Arabidopsis thaliana: one gene and its partners. The protein of the gene in region 1 interacts with the protein of each later gene in a pairwise test. Each region holds a gene or a part of one and is shown in the gene's direction. Other genes may lie near its edges.

What was found. The genes of interacting proteins can lie anywhere in the genome.
Region 2: the proteins of AT5G15240 (region 1) and ATERDJ2A interact in a protein complementation assay, tested with the Arabidopsis thaliana proteins (one large-scale study listed by BioGRID).
Region 3: the proteins of AT5G15240 (region 1) and UPS1 interact in a protein complementation assay, tested with the Arabidopsis thaliana proteins (one large-scale study listed by BioGRID).

Annotation. Positions count from the first base shown.
Region 1 is NC_003076.8:4,945,711-4,950,993, forward strand, and holds AT5G15240 (Transmembrane amino acid transporter family protein), read left to right. Parts: upstream 1-1,866; 5' UTR 1,867-2,051; coding exon 2,052-2,193; intron 2,194-2,864; exon of another isoform or gene 2,865-3,285; coding exon 3,286-3,896; intron 3,897-3,982; coding exon 3,983-4,501; 3' UTR 4,502-4,700; downstream 4,701-5,283. Other genes in the region: GASA4 (GAST1 protein homolog 4), read left to right, coding at 134-315; FTSH6 (FTSH protease 6), read right to left, coding at 4,701-5,048, 5,122-5,283.
Region 2 is NC_003070.9:30,067,650-30,073,961, forward strand, and holds ATERDJ2A (DnaJ / Sec63 Brl domains-containing protein), read left to right. Parts: upstream 1-1,869; 5' UTR 1,870-2,020; exon of another isoform or gene 2,021-2,063; intron 2,064-2,339; exon of another isoform or gene 2,340-2,342; 5' UTR 2,343-2,373; coding exon 2,374-2,559; intron 2,560-2,637; coding exon 2,638-2,733; intron 2,734-2,823; coding exon 2,824-2,944; intron 2,945-3,058; coding exon 3,059-3,165; intron 3,166-3,251; coding exon 3,252-3,469; intron 3,470-3,577; coding exon 3,578-3,755; intron 3,756-3,832; coding exon 3,833-3,952; intron 3,953-4,174; coding exon 4,175-4,261; intron 4,262-4,421; coding exon 4,422-4,532; intron 4,533-4,748; coding exon 4,749-5,588; 3' UTR 5,589-5,791; downstream 5,792-6,312. Other genes in the region: AT1G79950 (RAD3-like DNA-binding helicase protein), read left to right, coding at 5,931-6,167. UniProt on the Arabidopsis thaliana protein: Required for integral membrane and secreted preprotein translocation across the endoplasmic reticulum membrane.
Region 3 is NC_003071.7:1,092,915-1,097,497, forward strand, and holds UPS1 (ureide permease 1), read left to right. Parts: upstream 1-1,787; 5' UTR 1,788-2,214; coding exon 2,215-2,442; intron 2,443-2,521; coding exon 2,522-2,660; intron 2,661-2,748; coding exon 2,749-2,902; intron 2,903-2,974; coding exon 2,975-3,098; intron 3,099-3,188; coding exon 3,189-3,563; intron 3,564-3,644; coding exon 3,645-3,797; 3' UTR 3,798-4,062; downstream 4,063-4,583. Other genes in the region: AT2G03580 (F-box family protein-like protein), read left to right, coding at 350-401, 638-819, 1,262-1,373, 1,479-1,567; UPS3 (ureide permease 3), read left to right, coding at 4,380-4,583. UniProt on the Arabidopsis thaliana protein: Proton-coupled transporter that transports a wide spectrum of oxo derivatives of heterocyclic nitrogen compounds, including allantoin, uric acid and xanthine, but not adenine.

The DNA of each region.
Region 1 (5,283 bases):
CCCACTATCTTGAGACCCACAAAACAGTAAAAAAAAAAGCTAATGAATTTCCACTAGATTCTGTTGTTTTTATTAGTAATAAAAAATTTTTGAGTGTTAACATTTTGATATTGTTTGTATTTGAAACAACCAGAATGCCCATCGGAATGTGATAGGAGGTGTAAAAAGACACAGTACCACAAGGCTTGCATTACGTTCTGCAACAAATGCTGCAGGAAGTGTCTCTGTGTGCCTCCGGGTTACTATGGGAACAAACAAGTTTGCTCCTGCTACAACAACTGGAAAACTCAAGAGGGTGGACCAAAATGCCCTTGAAAAAATCTCCCTTCGTTCCCTTTTTATAATAAAAATTTTCAACTATAACTAAATTTCCTTTGATCAATGTTTTATCTACTTTATTCCTAATGTTGTAATGTTATGTCACTCCTTTTCGGATTTTGTTCTAAATCCTAAAAAAAATGAGAGTGGCCCTATGAATGATATTTTTCATGAATACTTGTGTTTCTAAAGATATTTTCCCATTCATCCACCAAAAAAAAAGATATTTTCCATTTCGAAAATAGTAATACTATAAAGGGTAAGGCAAACCAAATAATACAATTTAAAAAATTCCTGCGAAAGAAGTATGCATATGTAGAAAAGAGTGACATTGGGTCTCTCGGCCCAGTACTAAAAAGCCCATTATTGATTTTTCCAAGCTTTTTACAAAATCACGTGTTCTAACGCGATTGCTTTTTGCCGCAATCTTCTTTTATACAAGACTTGGGCTTTGGGCAGTTGGAAATAAATAACGACAACGATATTTTACAATCGGTGCAATGATATGAACCACAAACTTATAAACGTTTTACCCGTTCATTACCCTACGTATCAATAAATACTCTTAATAATGCCTTATATATTGACATTAATCGACAAGAAATATGAGGTTTGGAGTACAACTATAGTTATTAGCATTAACAACAAAGCTCAATTTAGCTCTCTTTGTTAGACATCTCACATGCATTTTGAATGGTGATCTTGAAGAAGATACTTTTTTTTTTTATCAACATGTGCATGCTATTTTTTCACAAGCACAACATGGGGAAATGGCCGGCAATGAGTATTCTTCTTTTCTAAAGAACTCATTTTGTAACCTATAAAAGTTTTTGGTTTCGATTTCTGAATGAAAACATATTGGATAACTGTAAAAAATTTGCAGTATGGTTTTAATAGTAACGAAAATATATAGATATATATGTCGATATTTTCATTATTGTTAGAACTACTCGGCACCTTGTAGAACATAACTGTAAACTAGCGTCAAGATATTGATTTACGTCAGATCAAGGCTATTCATACTTATCTACTCTTTAGGTCTGGGGATTCACTTGTCAACTATTTTTAACAAACGACAACAAAAAAATATGTGACGATTTTTCAAGTGCTCCAGTCTCGTCCAACAGATTATTGACATGATATACTACTTTGGACCATGTATTTTTATGAAAATTTGATCCCTCTTCAGTCTTCACCGAAAGAGGATTTGGTACTTGCATTCTCTCTATCACCTAAGTTAAACGCCCTAACATTAAAGTGGAAAACTTCGTGGAGTTTTATTTTCTCTCTTCCTACCAATTTTCTTATACAACTAACATTAAATTCTAGAACCACACAAATCGCAAATTATGGTAGATTTGTGTGTAAGTGGTTATAATTTTTTTCTATATAAAGAGTTGCACTTAAATTTCAATTAGTTTCTAAAAACCCCATCCACGAATATTTAATTGGTCAATAAACATTAAATAGAATTCCACTGCCACGCTAATATCGTGTAGATATCATATGTGCATGGATACTGCATAAAAATCAGCTCTAATAATTGATGTAATTTAAAAACATTGACCCTAGTAAATGTATTAACACTATATATATTGCCTTTTGAGGGTTTCTTTATTGTTTACTTCCAAGTTCCAACTTCTCTCTATCTATTTCCTTCGTCTCTCGATCTCTCCGTCTCTCTCTCTTTGTCTCTTCGATATCCAAAGAGCAGAGTCAAAGACTAAACAAGTATGAGCGAGGACAAAGATTACATGTCGGAGCCATTTATCGTTAAGAAGATTGATGATGAAGAATCATTGCTTGATGATTATAATCCACAGGGCAATACTTCTTTCTCCAAGACTTGTTTCCATGGCATTAACGCCTTATCAGGTTTAATTTCCTCTTCTTCTTCTTTTTTTTTTTTTCTATTTTCATTTTCGTGATTGATTTTTTCTTTTTGATTTATTCACCACTTCTTCTTATCTCCAAACTCCATAACTCACGGGGAAAGATCCAACTCTTAGCATGTCCACATATATGGATAGGATATATCTTAATTTTCAAAATAATCTAGAAAAAACTATAATTAGCTTTATTGTACTTAATTTCTATAGATGCATGTTTTTAACTCAAGCTTTTGACTTTATCTTGTATCATCTAGATTGGTGTGTATTTCAATCCTACATTTTGTTTCTTTACCTCCTAGTCTTGCCTCAGTTTTTTTAGTTATTTAATTTTTCTGTTGATAATTTATCATAACCAAGTTAAAACCAGTTCTACTTAGACTGAATTGTGTTTTTCTTCGTCTAGATTCAGTTTCATAGTCTTTGATAAACAATAGTGCTAAATAACCAAATCATTTTTGTTCTGACTATTAAAGGTTAGGATGGTTCCGTTTAACTGAATTTAACACTATAGTATTAACAATTCGGCAAAGTTTTCAATGACTATTGCTATTATTTATTCGCTAAATGTGGTAATGGCCTAATAATGGGTTTATCAAACTGGCCGCTATCGTTGTACTTAATTGTTTATATACCAAACTAGATACTTAGTTTATACTAAAAAAACTAATTATATACTGGAAACACGTCTGACCAAACTAGACCAAACTAGACCATATACGAACAAAAAACAGTCCATATAATTAAATAGAAAGAAACCAGCAATTCCAATTATCTTTCAGATATAAATACAACGTGTCACTGAACAAAACCTTAACACATTAACAACACGTCTTCCCTTTTCAATTTGTGTTCTTCTTCTTCTACAAGACTACAAACCACTTTGATAAAATCAAATCATATTATCTTATTGGTAACGAGACCACGAATATTTCTTTGCGTTTGTGTTTTCAATTAAAAACTGCGTTTGCGTTTTCATATATACAAAAAGAACGTTTGTAAATAGTTAACACAAAAAACGTTAATTAGCATATGCGTTAGGCTTGGACATTCTTCTGATCAACTCTTTTTTTTTTAGGTGTGGGTATATTATCGGTCCCTTATGCCTTAGCATCCGGAGGATGGCTAAGTTTGATCATACTTTTCACCGTAGCGATCACAACTTTCTACTGTGCCATTCTCATTAAGAGATGTATGGAAATGGATCCACTTCTTAGATCATACCCGGACATTGGCTACAAAGCCTTTGGAAACACAGGACGTGTTATCGTCTCCATCTTCATGAACCTCGAGCTTTACCTAGTTGCAACTAGTTTCTTGATCCTAGAAGGTGACAACCTTAACAAACTCTTCTCAAACGTTGGACTCAACTTCATGGGGCTTGAATTCCAAGGCAAGCAAATGTTCATCATCATGGTGGCTCTCATTATTCTTCCTTCGGTTTGGTTAGACAATATGAGGATTCTTTCTTATGTTTCCGCGAGTGGTGTCTTTGCTTCCGGGGTTATTCTTGCTTCTATCTTTTCGGTTGGAGCTTTTGAAGGCGTAGGGTTCAAGAACAATGACTCAGAGGTCTTTCGACTTAATGGAGTCGCTACTTCGGTGAGCTTATACGCGTTTTGTTATTGCGCTCATCCAGTTTTCCCAACTCTATACACTTCCATGAAGAACAAACGCCAATTCTCAAACGTAAGTTTTTTACATAACGGATCATTAGGTTATTCTTGACCAAAACTCACACTAATAATTTTGCATATTTTTTTTAACATTTTCAGGTTATGATTATATGTTTCACAATATGCACCTTCATATATGCATCAGTGGCGGTATTGGGTTACTTAATGTATGGATCAGATGTTGAATCACAGATCACTTTGAATCTTCCTACTGATAAGCTTAGTTCAAAAGTGGCGATATGGACTACATTGGTCAACCCAATAGCTAAGTTTGCTCTCATGGTTACACCTATTATTGACGCAATGAGAAGCCGGTTTTCTCGAGTTTTGCCTAATAAAAGAGCTTCTGGATTTTTGCTAAGTACAATACTAGTTACTAGCAATGTGATTGTGGCATTGCTTCTTCCGTTTTTTGGTGATCTTATGAGTCTTGTGGGAGCATTCTTGAGCGCATCCGCATCGGTTATATTGCCATGTTTATGTTACTTAAAGATCTCTGGGAAATATCAAAGACTCGGATTCGAAACATTGGTGCTCATCGGAATCACTCTAACCGGTATCGTGGTTGTGATAACCGGAACTTACCAAGCGGTCAAGGACATTTTTGGTCGATTTTGAAATCCCAATAGGTGAAGTTTAGCTTATAGAGTATTTGTTTAGGAAGATATTTGTACTACCAACAGTCCAATACCATAATTTGTTTTATTTGATTTTTTGTGACTTTCGTTAACGAAGTTTTTTTGAGTTATGTAATAATTTGGAATGAGAAAAATGTGAATACGTTAAATGAAGACATGAGTTGATCTAGGTGTCTGTATTAGACACTAATCAAGTCATTGATTCGAATTCTTACATCGCCATCGGTATTTAACGGTTGATCAGTATACTCAGACAGAATTGCTCGAAACTCGTCTCCCGTTAAGGTTTCTTTCTCCAACAAAACATCAACAAGCTTGTCTATAGCTTCTCTATTATTCCTCACGTGCTTTTTCGCAACCTCGTAAGCGTCACCGATTATTTTCTTCACGCAAGAATCAATATCCTCCGCAAGTTTCTCGGACATTGAGTTCCTCGCTAGCATCCGTAGAACCACATCGTTTTGCTTAACCGCTGGGTCGGTTAGTGCCCATGGACCGATTTCCGACATACCAAACATCGTCACCATCTGAACCATAAGAATAATTAGAAAATCCACCGTTTTTTTCCGGTTTATGAAAATTTTGTTTCAATTACTGTACCTGTCTTGCTATCTCAGTGACTTGCTGGAGATCACCGGCAGCGCCGGTGGTTATCTCCGGTTCTCCAAAAATTACATCTTCGGCGGCTCTGCCTCCGAGTCCTCCGACGATTCTAGCGAACAATTGCTGTTTAGACACCAATGTCGGATCTTCTCCCGGTAA
Region 2 (6,312 bases), on another chromosome or scaffold:
GATATTTATTTTTGCCTCTCTTTCATAATTTACGTAAACAAATCGAGTCTACAAATAAAAATTATCAAAACCAAATTAATACATTTGCGTAAAGCTCTTCCGTCCAAAACCAAATTATTTATAAGTTGAAAGATTATACAACTAACTTTGTATGCGTTAATGATAAACAACAATAATAATTCTAAACTATTTGAAAAATATTATTAGCTAGTAAATGATTTCTGAGTTGGATTTTTTCGAGATAATGTCACTGTTTACTGGCATTTCAATCCTACTGTTGCAAACCTTATTTTGTGAAATATTCTTAGTGTGGACAAAAATCTTGGATCGTAATCATCTAGTACAGTACTTTCTAATCGTCAATTAGATTGAAGAACTATATTAAATGTTTACATATATTTTTGGTATCACTTGCTTCTTTATTTGCATCTTTCCTACCTGATCTTAAGTTTACTCGGTTTAAAACTACTGTATATAGCAAACTTGCAATGACATGCAATATGCTATGATTGTTTTCTTTTGTTATAAATGTTAATATCATATATAAAATGAAAGAAATGTATTACAAAAGAGCATTAACCTAATCACCAGATTGCGAAAACCTTTTAGATGTCTTCTTGAAGATATGGTATTGCAAATTTCACGGTCAAAATTCTTGAAAATGATCGAAGAAAGCAGTGACTGTGAATTATGTAAGACATTATTTACTTGTTTTCAAATGTGGTAAACTCCACCGTGTGCTGCCATTTTTTTGAGAGTGGAAGGAACATTTGGTGAACGAGTTTTTGTCCAAGAGAGAAGCTCAAACTATGTGGAAGGCATATGCGTGTGCTGCCAGTTTCTTGAGAGTGGTAGGAACATTTGGTGAACGAGTTTTTGTCCAAGAGAAAAGCTCAAACCATGTGGAAAGCATATTCGTGTGCTGCCAGTTTCTTGAGAGTGGTAAGAACATTTGGTGAACAAAAGCTCAAACTATGTGGAAGGCATATGATGCGAGAAATGCTTAACCGAGAAAAAAATTAGCCTCCAAATCTCACAAGCAAAATCTCAAGTTAATAAGCATTTTAGCAGTGGTGTCTATGTACAACAATATCATAATATGAAAGCCAGTAATAAAATTTAAATGGTATGAAAAACGATAATAGCTATATAATAACATTTTCTTTGTTTTTAATATCTATATTTTGTTTTAGTTATATATAATATTAACATGTCAACAAAGTTTTCAAATAACTGATTATTTAATATAATCAAAACAAGTAAAATTATACGATATTTGGCTAGATTTAAAACGACTATTTTAGTGAATCGAATAACCAAATCATACCAAACTCATTCAAAATCATTATTAGCTTTCGTTACAGTAGATAAAAAAGTATTGGTAACCATGCTCTTATAAATTTAATTGAATTAGACAGTTTATGATTAAATCGATAATAATAACGAAGATTGATGTATTTTGCAAGTAGAACAATTTATTTCTGGTCGAAATATAAATAGTTACAACAAAACAGTTTTCTTAAAATCATTAAATATTTGTTTTGTTTAAATCTCTATTTTGTTGTAACTATTTACAATCTCTAGATCACATTAAATCTCTAGAACATATAAGAGATTTGTTGCAATCCCTATTACAATATCTGGATCACATTAAATCTCTAGAGCATATAATCCCTCTTTGATCCATATCCTTTTCTCTTTTTCCTTTCTAATTTATAAAAAATGTGATTTTTTTTGGGAAATTCGTTTTCGTTCACCATAAAAACTTTGCTATTAATAATTACTCTAATTTAATGGAAAATAAATAACTCGTAAAAATGTAAAGAGAGAAATGAATTGCGAAATATTTTAATTGAGAAGGTAAAGAAAAGTGAATAAGCAAGTAAAGAAGAAAGAACTCACCAATCAGAAATCAGAAATTAGAAGAGAAGAGAAGCATAAAGAAAAAAAAACTGCAACGCCGTTTGTTGCCGATCTGCAGCAGCGCGATCTCTCTGATTATAGAGAGCTATCATCCTAGGTGAGCTTCTTCTTCGATTTCCTCTTCTACAATATCCTTTCAAGTTCGATTTCATCTTCTTTCACCAATTATTGGTTTTGCTTCCTTCCCGTAGTTTCGTTTGTTTGTTTTCTAAGGTTTTGTGTCGATCTCAAAGTGAGTCCAGGGATTCATATACCTTTAGACTAGATTAGCCGAGATCTATTAGTGTTGATCTCCGTCATGTAGAATCCCTAATTAATTTCAGTGGCCTCAGATCCAGCTTTTCATGTTATTGATAATTTTGTATCCTTGAAGCTTTTTGGATGTTGTGAGATTATAACAGAGCTTTTCCTTTCAGCAGAATAGAATCTCTCAGTTTAAAGGCTCCAAAGATGGCGGCGTCAGAAGAGAATAGCGCATTGTTTCCCATTTTTATCTTGACGATTATGGCAATTCCTTTGGTGCCTTACACCATGGTCAAGTTAAGCGGTGCTCTCTCCAAGAAACAAAGGACCATTCATTGTCAGTGTCTCGAGTGTGACCGTTCTGGAAAATATAAGAGATCCTTGTTTAAAAAGGTTACTTTCCACTCAACCTCCTGCTCTGTAATAGATTATTGCATGTTCCTAACCTCTTCTTCACTTATCTATCTGCAGATCTCTAACTTCTCTACGTGGAGCAACTTGACACTTGTGCTACTCTGGGTCGTGATGATTTTCTTGATTTATTACACTAAGAACATGAGCCGTGAGGTAATCCCATTGCTTGCTGTTGAACTTGAATGCACCGCTGACTTATATCAACTAATTCTACTTGCTTATTTACCTTCTTTTGTGTTACAGGCTCAAGTTTTTGACCCATTCAGTATACTTGGACTGGAACCTGGAGTTACAGATTCAGAAATAAAGAAAGCATATAGAAGGCTGTCGATTCAATACCATCCTGATAAAAATCCAGATCCAGGTCAAGTTTTTCCCCTTGTTATTTTTTTTTTCCCTTTTGATCATTACGGAATTATGGTTGCAGCTTTTGATCCTGATAGTTTTTTCTTCTATGCGCATTTGTTGATCTCTACAGAAGCCAATAAATATTTTGTGGAGTTCATATCTAAAGCATACCAGGCTTTGACTGATTCAGTATCCCGTGAAAACTTTGAGAAGTATGGTCATCCAGATGGCAGACAGGTAAGGATACATCTCCTTTCCCTTCGCATGTGCTCCCGTCTTATTGACAAGCCTATTGAGACTAAAATATTGTTATGTGATCGCAGGGATTTCAAATGGGCATTGCTCTTCCTCAATTTCTTCTAGACATTGATGGAGCATCTGGTGGCATATTATTGCTTTGGATAGTTGGTGTCTGTATTCTCTTGCCCCTTGTGATTGCTGTTATATATCTCTCGAGGTCATCAAAGTATACTGGGAACTACGTTATGCATCAAACACTCTCCGCATATTATTATCTAATGAAACCCTCTCTGGCCCCAAGGTATATTCACTCATACCCATATACATTCAAGTGATGCTATTGGTGCATGACAAATGGGCTGTGTTTTCGTTTGTTTGTATGACATGTTTTAAAATTTTTATTGTCCAGCAAAGTTATGGAAGTTTTCACCAAGGCAGCTGAGTACATGGAGATTCCAGTTCGTAGAACTGATGATGAACCTCTGCAGAAGCTCTTTATGTCTGTTAGGAGTGAACTAAATTTGGACCTGAAGAACATGAAGCAAGAGCAAGCTAAGTTTTGGAAACAGCATCCTGCCATAGTGAAGGTGAATTTTAAAATTATGCAACTGTAATGCTAAATATTGGATAAACTGAAATACTCACTTCCTCAATTTCTGTACAGACCGAGCTGTTGATACAAGCCCAGTTAACTCGTGAATCAGGAGTCCTGTCTCCAGCCCTTCAGGGTGATTTCAGGCGTGTGCTAGAGCTTGCACCTCGCCTCCTTGAGGAGTTATTGAAGGTCTAGTCTCTATTTAAATAACACAATTTCTGATAAAATAACCATCAAAAAGCGATGACCGCAAAGTGCTAACCTAGAAGATATGTATTTTCCTTTAGAGGAACTCGAAACAGACTCTTAAAAGACTTAGAAATTTAGGTTAATAGTGATGCTTTTGGTTACACTGTTAAATTGTGGTTTTCTTAACCATTCTTTCATTATAACATTGTGAGTTTCTTGCAGATGGCGGTTATACCACGCACTGCCCAAGGGCATGGATGGCTGAGGCCTGCAGTTGGAGTAGTTGAGCTATCTCAGTGCATTGTTCAGGTCTTAAATTGCTCTCATCGCCTATCTTCTAGTTTTTATTTGTTTGTGAGCTTTCAGTTCTTTATGTCTCTTTTCTCCACAAGATTTACTTCTTCCTGAAAGTTTAAGAAGTGCTTAGTGTTGTTGTCTAGGAACATAAACTAAAAATCCAAAATCGCAGGCTGTTCCTCTTAGTGCAAGGAAGTCTTCTGGAGTATCATCAGAAGGCATTTCCCCTTTCTTACAGCTCCCTCATTTCAGTGATGCCGTTGTCAAAAAGATAGCACGGAAGGTATACTACTATCAAATGTGTCAAGTGCAGTACTAATATCTAGTTCCATATCATGTGCATTTTTCTCTCACTTTTTGATTCCTGAGAATCTTGTTGGATTCTGTTCTCCAAATAAGTAGTAGTGGTTCTTTAGGTTGGTTTACTTAAAGGTCTAGTCTAAAGACATATATAAACCTCCATTTTATGTTAACATGTCATTGTTTCTCCTATTTTCAGAAGGTTAAATCATTCCAAGATCTTCAAGAAATGAGGTTGGAAGACCGTTCTGAACTACTTACTCAGGTAGCGGGTTTATCAGCAACTGATGTTGAGGACATTGAGAAGGTGCTAGAAATGATGCCGTCTATTACAGTCGACATCACATGTGAAACAGAAGGGGAAGAGGGGATCCAAGAGGGAGACATTGTGACCCTTCAAGCTTGGGTCACCCTGAAACGACCCAATGGGCTTGTAGGCGCTCTTCCTCATGCACCCTACTTCCCCTTCCACAAGGAGGAAAACTATTGGGTTCTTCTGGCTGATTCAGTGTCGAACAACGTTTGGTTCTCTCAGAAGGTTAGCTTCCTGGATGAAGGTGGAGCGATAACGGCTGCATCAAAAGCCATCAGTGAGTCAATGGAAGGTTCGGGTGCAGGGGTGAAGGAAACAAACGATGCAGTGAGAGAAGCGATTGAGAAGGTTAAAGGAGGGTCAAGGCTGGTCATGGGTAAACTCCAAGCACCGGCAGAGGGAACATACAACTTGACTTGCTTCTGCCTGTGTGACACATGGATCGGGTGTGACAAAAAGCAAGCACTGAAAGTGAAAGTCCTGAAAAGAACCAGGGCAGGGACACGTGGGTTGGTTTCAGATGAGGGTGCGATTGCAGAAGAAGGTATGGAGGAGGAAGATGAGATTGAGGAGGAGGATTACGATGATGATTACGAAAGTGAGTACAGTGAAGATGAGGATGAGAAGAAAGATATGGATGAGAAGAGAGGGTCGAAGAAGGCCAATGGGAGTGTGAAACAGAAGAAAGAGTCGAGTTCTGAAGAGTCGGGATCGGAGGAAGAGTGAAACAGAAATGAGATTTTACATTGATAAACAAAACAAAAAATACAATACTTTTGTCCTGGAATCTTGACGGAAACTTCTTTTTCACAGTTTTGATATTCTCTCATTGGCTCCCTTCTCTTTCTTTCTCTCTGTATCACTTTTCTTCAGAGACACACATACAAGCAAAACGCGACTAAGGAGAAAATCGTACTAACTCGGACAAATTTTGGTACACAGCATTACAAAACAAAACAAAACTTTTTAACTCCCCCAAATAGTTTAGGGTTTAGGGTTTATTGGGGGCCCCAATACAGACCATCAGGTATCAGGTAATGGGCCTTGTTAATAAAGTAGTGGGTTATAATGGGCTTTACGGTTGTTTCAAGAAGTGGAAGCCCTACAAGGCGGGAAAATCAGAAGAGGCGCGTCTGCTTCCGTCTTCTTCTTCGTCTTCTCCGGAGAGGTTTTGTGGTGTTATCGGCGGAATCCGACCCGAAAATGCCAAATTACAGCATCAGAGGAATCAATGTTGAATTCCCATTCGAGGCGTACCAGTCTCAGATCATATACATGGACAGAGTCATCGAGTCTCTTCAAAACGTGGGTTTCCCTCTCCCTCTCTCTCTCTCTCTTTTTTACACACCAACTCTCTTCAACTGTTTTGTTGATGATGATATTCGCGTGATGATACTCTCTCTCTCTCTCTCTATTCTGTTGTTTATTTTGCTTTCCCCAATTCTATATC
Region 3 (4,583 bases), on another chromosome or scaffold:
TTAAGACAACAACAAAAGTAAGCTCTTTAGCTGATATACGACCACCAACTATCTGGCTATCGAGAAGATCTAATATGCAGGGAAGTTATTCACTAGAATAATTCAATAGATTTGTTTAGTATAAAACTATTATTAGATTGAGTAAATATAAAAATAGTATATTTAAATTTGAGAGGAATGACATATGTCAAATGAATCAAACACCACTTGTCAGTTTTTTACGGTATGAGTTTGAGGGAACCTTACTTATATGTAAATGTATAAAAATAGTTAAACTTAATAGGCGTTCGTTCTAATCCCTAAAACAAAACCTTAGTTACTTTAGCGTATAGGGCAAGTAGGCGCAGACATGGATATGTCGATGAGAGAAGAGAAAAGACCAAAAGTGTTTGATAATCACGGTTGGTCCAAACTTTAATTTGTCCCGCGCGATCTTTGCAAAAGACCATGAAAATATTGATCTTTATTTACCTAAAGATCATCAAGGTGGATGCGCGTAACGATTTGATGAGAGAAGAAAACTGACCAAAAGTATCTCATCATCACGACTGGTCCAAGCTTTGTCTTGACCTTTTGCGAAAAATCATTGAAAGCTTGAACTCTATTGACTACCACCAAGCAAAACTCGTTTGCTCAGATTGGTATTTCGTTTGGAAAACATGCGTGAAACGGCCTCTGTATCCATGGCGGATCATATACTACGATGATGATTCTTCCAGTTTGTTTGATCCCGGTGAAGACAAGATTTACGGGACAAAACTCCTCGGACTCTCTGACAATAGCTATTATATGGCTAGCTCCGGAAACTGGCTCTTGATGGTAGATTCTTGATAGGTTTATAAGGTCGACTACTAGAGAAAGAAGCTGAGAAGATTGGGCTAAGCGAAGCTGAGAAGAGAAAAGAGGAAGTCAACTACTGTGTTGACTGAGTTGACTTAACAAATGAGGGCAAATACTCTTTCCAGTTAGAGGCCTTGAAACTCTTCTTCTATAAATACTGACTCTGTTCTTATCTGGGGATTTTATGCTTTTTATGTTGTGATATTTCTCGAGAGAGAATTGGCCTTGTGATGTGCCAGAGGAAGAGATCAATGTTGATCTCTTGGTCATCGGTTGCTTATATCTATGTTGATCTAAACATAACGATTCTTATCTTCTCTTTGTAGTTACGTAATCGATTCTATCATTACGATCTAGAGTTTCTAGAGTTTAAGGATTTGAAACTTTAACAAGTCTCGTCTTGATTCGAATCTTATTAAAGATCAATCTTCCGTCAATGGAGTCGTCAGTTCGCGGTGGAAAAATAAGATTCGAGCCAAGCAGATACTATAATAGACAAGGCAAGTGGGGATGGTTCGTCCTCCATCCTTTTGGTAAGTATTGCGTGTCCAAACACATGTTGGGAATAACAAGATCAGTTGGTCTTGGATAGATGAGAGGACAGTGGATTATTTAATTGCTTGGACTTTACACAACAGTTATTTGTTCACATACAAGAAAGGAGATGATTCTTGGTGGAACTGGAATGATAAGTATGGGACATCAGCTCCGATGTTTGGGGATTTAGCTTACAAGAACAGCAAGCTTTATCAGTATACTTTGCGCCACTACATCAAGATTATTGATTATTGTTACATACTTTTACTTCACCTTTTTGTTTTGAATTTTTTTTTTTATAATGATTTTAAGACAAGATTGTGTCAGCCGTTGACTTATGATCAACTAGGAACCTAATCGGAACGCAACTCGAGATTCATTTTATTTATTTTATACTACAAAATTATCTTGAAAAATATATCGAGGAAGGTGTCATATCTCATGGAATCCGAATCTGCCAATAATATGAGAGCCACTAGCAATTATTCTGAATCTCCCCAAAGGGAAGAATCAAAAGTTGTTCTCTCTTGTTCTGTCTTTGTTCTTTGTTAGAGTTAGAACAGAAGCTTCCAAAAGGTAATAATAATCTCTTTCAAGAAACTCATTATTAGTCAAAGATGTTTACTTTTTAGTACTCTCTCTGTTCTTCATTGCTTCTCTAGAAACCCAATAGATTTTGACTCTTGCCTTGCCTTTGCGGTTGTCTAAAGATCACAATCCTCAATTTGAGTTTGATCGATCATTAATGTGTGTCGAAGATCAGATAACCAAAAGAATCTTGTTTGGTGCAGAGTTTTTTTCATGATTTTTATAAGTATATAAAAGAGAGATAGAAAGATGTATATGATAGAGAGCAAAGGAGGAGCAATTGCATGTATGCTCTTGGCTCTTCTCTTCTTAGGGACATGGCCAGCAATCATGACTCTAACCGAAAGACGCGGTCGACTTCCTCAACACACTTATCTTGACTACACACTCACAAATCTGTTAGCTGCAGTGATCATAGCGTTGACACTAGGAGAAATAGGTCCGAGCAGACCAAATTTCTTTACACAGCTCTCTCAAGTCAGTCACATCTTCTTACTTCTCCTTAGACATCTTGTCGAAAACTATTGTATAACCGCGGTTTTTTTTTTTATCATAGGATAATTGGCAGTCAGTGATGTTTGCAATGGCTGGAGGAATAGTTCTTAGCCTTGGAAACTTAGCAACACAATATGCTTGGGCTTATGTTGGTTTATCAGTTACTGAAGTCATCACAGCTAGTATCACTGTTGTTATCGGTACACTCTTCTTTCTTCAACTACTCTTAACTGATTTTTTCCTCTGTTTCTTCTCTGTTCTTATGACCATTTCTGTTTTCTAGTACAGGCACAACTTTGAACTATTTCTTGGATGATAGAATCAACAGAGCTGAGGTCCTTTTCCCGGGGGTCGCTTGTTTCTTGATCGCTGTTTGTTTCGGTTCCGCTGTTCATAAATCCAATGCTGCTGATAACAAAACCAAACTCCAAAATTTCAAAAGGTTTGAAAAAGATTCATATCTATTGTTGTTTCCGTTTGGTTTGGTTTGGTACTAATCTTGATCTTGTTTCAGTTTAGAGACTACTTCTTCCTTCGAAATGGAAACAATTTCTGCAAGCAACGGGTTAACAAAAGGGAAAGCGAAAGAAGGGACTGCAGCTTTTCTCATAGAGCTTGAGAAGCAAAGAGCTATAAAGGTTGAAACATACTACTCTTCCTTTACCCTAACAGATATAACTGATATGTATATATGTTCTCTGAAGATTCATGATTGGCATTGAGGACAGGTCTTTGGCAAAAGCACAATAATCGGATTGGTGATAACTTTCTTTGCCGGTATCTGCTTTTCTCTGTTCTCACCTGCATTCAACTTAGCAACAAACGATCAATGGCACACATTAAAACATGGAGTTCCAAAACTAAATGTGTACACTGCCTTCTTCTACTTCTCCATCTCTGCATTTGTAGTTGCTCTGATACTTAACATCAGATTTCTCTATTGGCCTATACTTGGTCTCCCAAGATCTTCTTTCAAGGCTTATTTGAATGACTGGAACGGTCGAGGCTGGTCTTTCTTGGCTGGATTTCTATGTGGATTTGGCAATGGTCTTCAGTTCATGGGTGGTCAAGCCGCAGGCTATGCAGCTGCAGACGCTGTTCAGGTTTAGACAATAAACAAATCCTCTGTTCCATGATTTAAGAGTGAAATATGTTTTACTTATTATGATTTGAATATGTTTCAGGCACTTCCACTTGTGAGTACATTTTGGGGGATATTGTTGTTTGGAGAATATAGAAGATCATCAAGAAAAACATATACACTTCTCATCAGTATGCTTCTTATGTTCATAGTCGCTGTCGCGGTTCTTATGGCTTCCTCGGGACATAGAAAATGAAATTCACTGAAACTTCTTCAAGTTAAACTGCTAAAAGGATCCATTGAAGGAAGAGTTACTTCACCAATGGCTGCAACATGTTCAAGTCTTTGTTTATATTTAACCAAAGTGTTTTCTTTGTTGGTTTCTGTCTTAGGGCTTTGCTAACAACAATTGGTTGTATTGTCTTTGTTTACACATCAGAGAAAGAAAACTATAGTTTATGGCAACTTGAGATTTATTTATTTTATAGAAAATGGGAAACTAACTTCTTCCTGAATCTGGATCTGCCAATCAAATGAGAGACTAAGTTTTTTTTCTTCTGTATCTGTTGTTCTCTGGTCTTCCTCAAAGTCAAAGTTAAGACAAAAGCTTTAATAAGGTAATCTCTTTCAAGAAACCTAGTCAATAGGGAAATTTAATGGAATATAAGGTTTGAGTTTTATAGAGATCTTCTTGTATCAGCATGTGTCTTGTGTTAATGTTCTAAAGAACCTTTCTTAAGACAACTAGCTTCATTTTTATCACGAGAGATCAATGATATGATAACAGAAGAATCTCACTTCTTTACTTTGATGCAGTGGGATTTGGTGATTTTATAAAATGTATGTGATAGAGAGCAAAGGAGGAACAATCACTTGTATGCTCTTGGCTCTGCTCTTCTTAGGGACATGGCCAGCAATCATGACTCTAACCGAAAGACGCGGTAGACTTCCTCAACATACTTATCTTGACTACACACTGACAAACCTGTTAGCTGCAGTTATCATAGCGTTTACACTAGGCGAAATAAGTCCAAGCAGACCA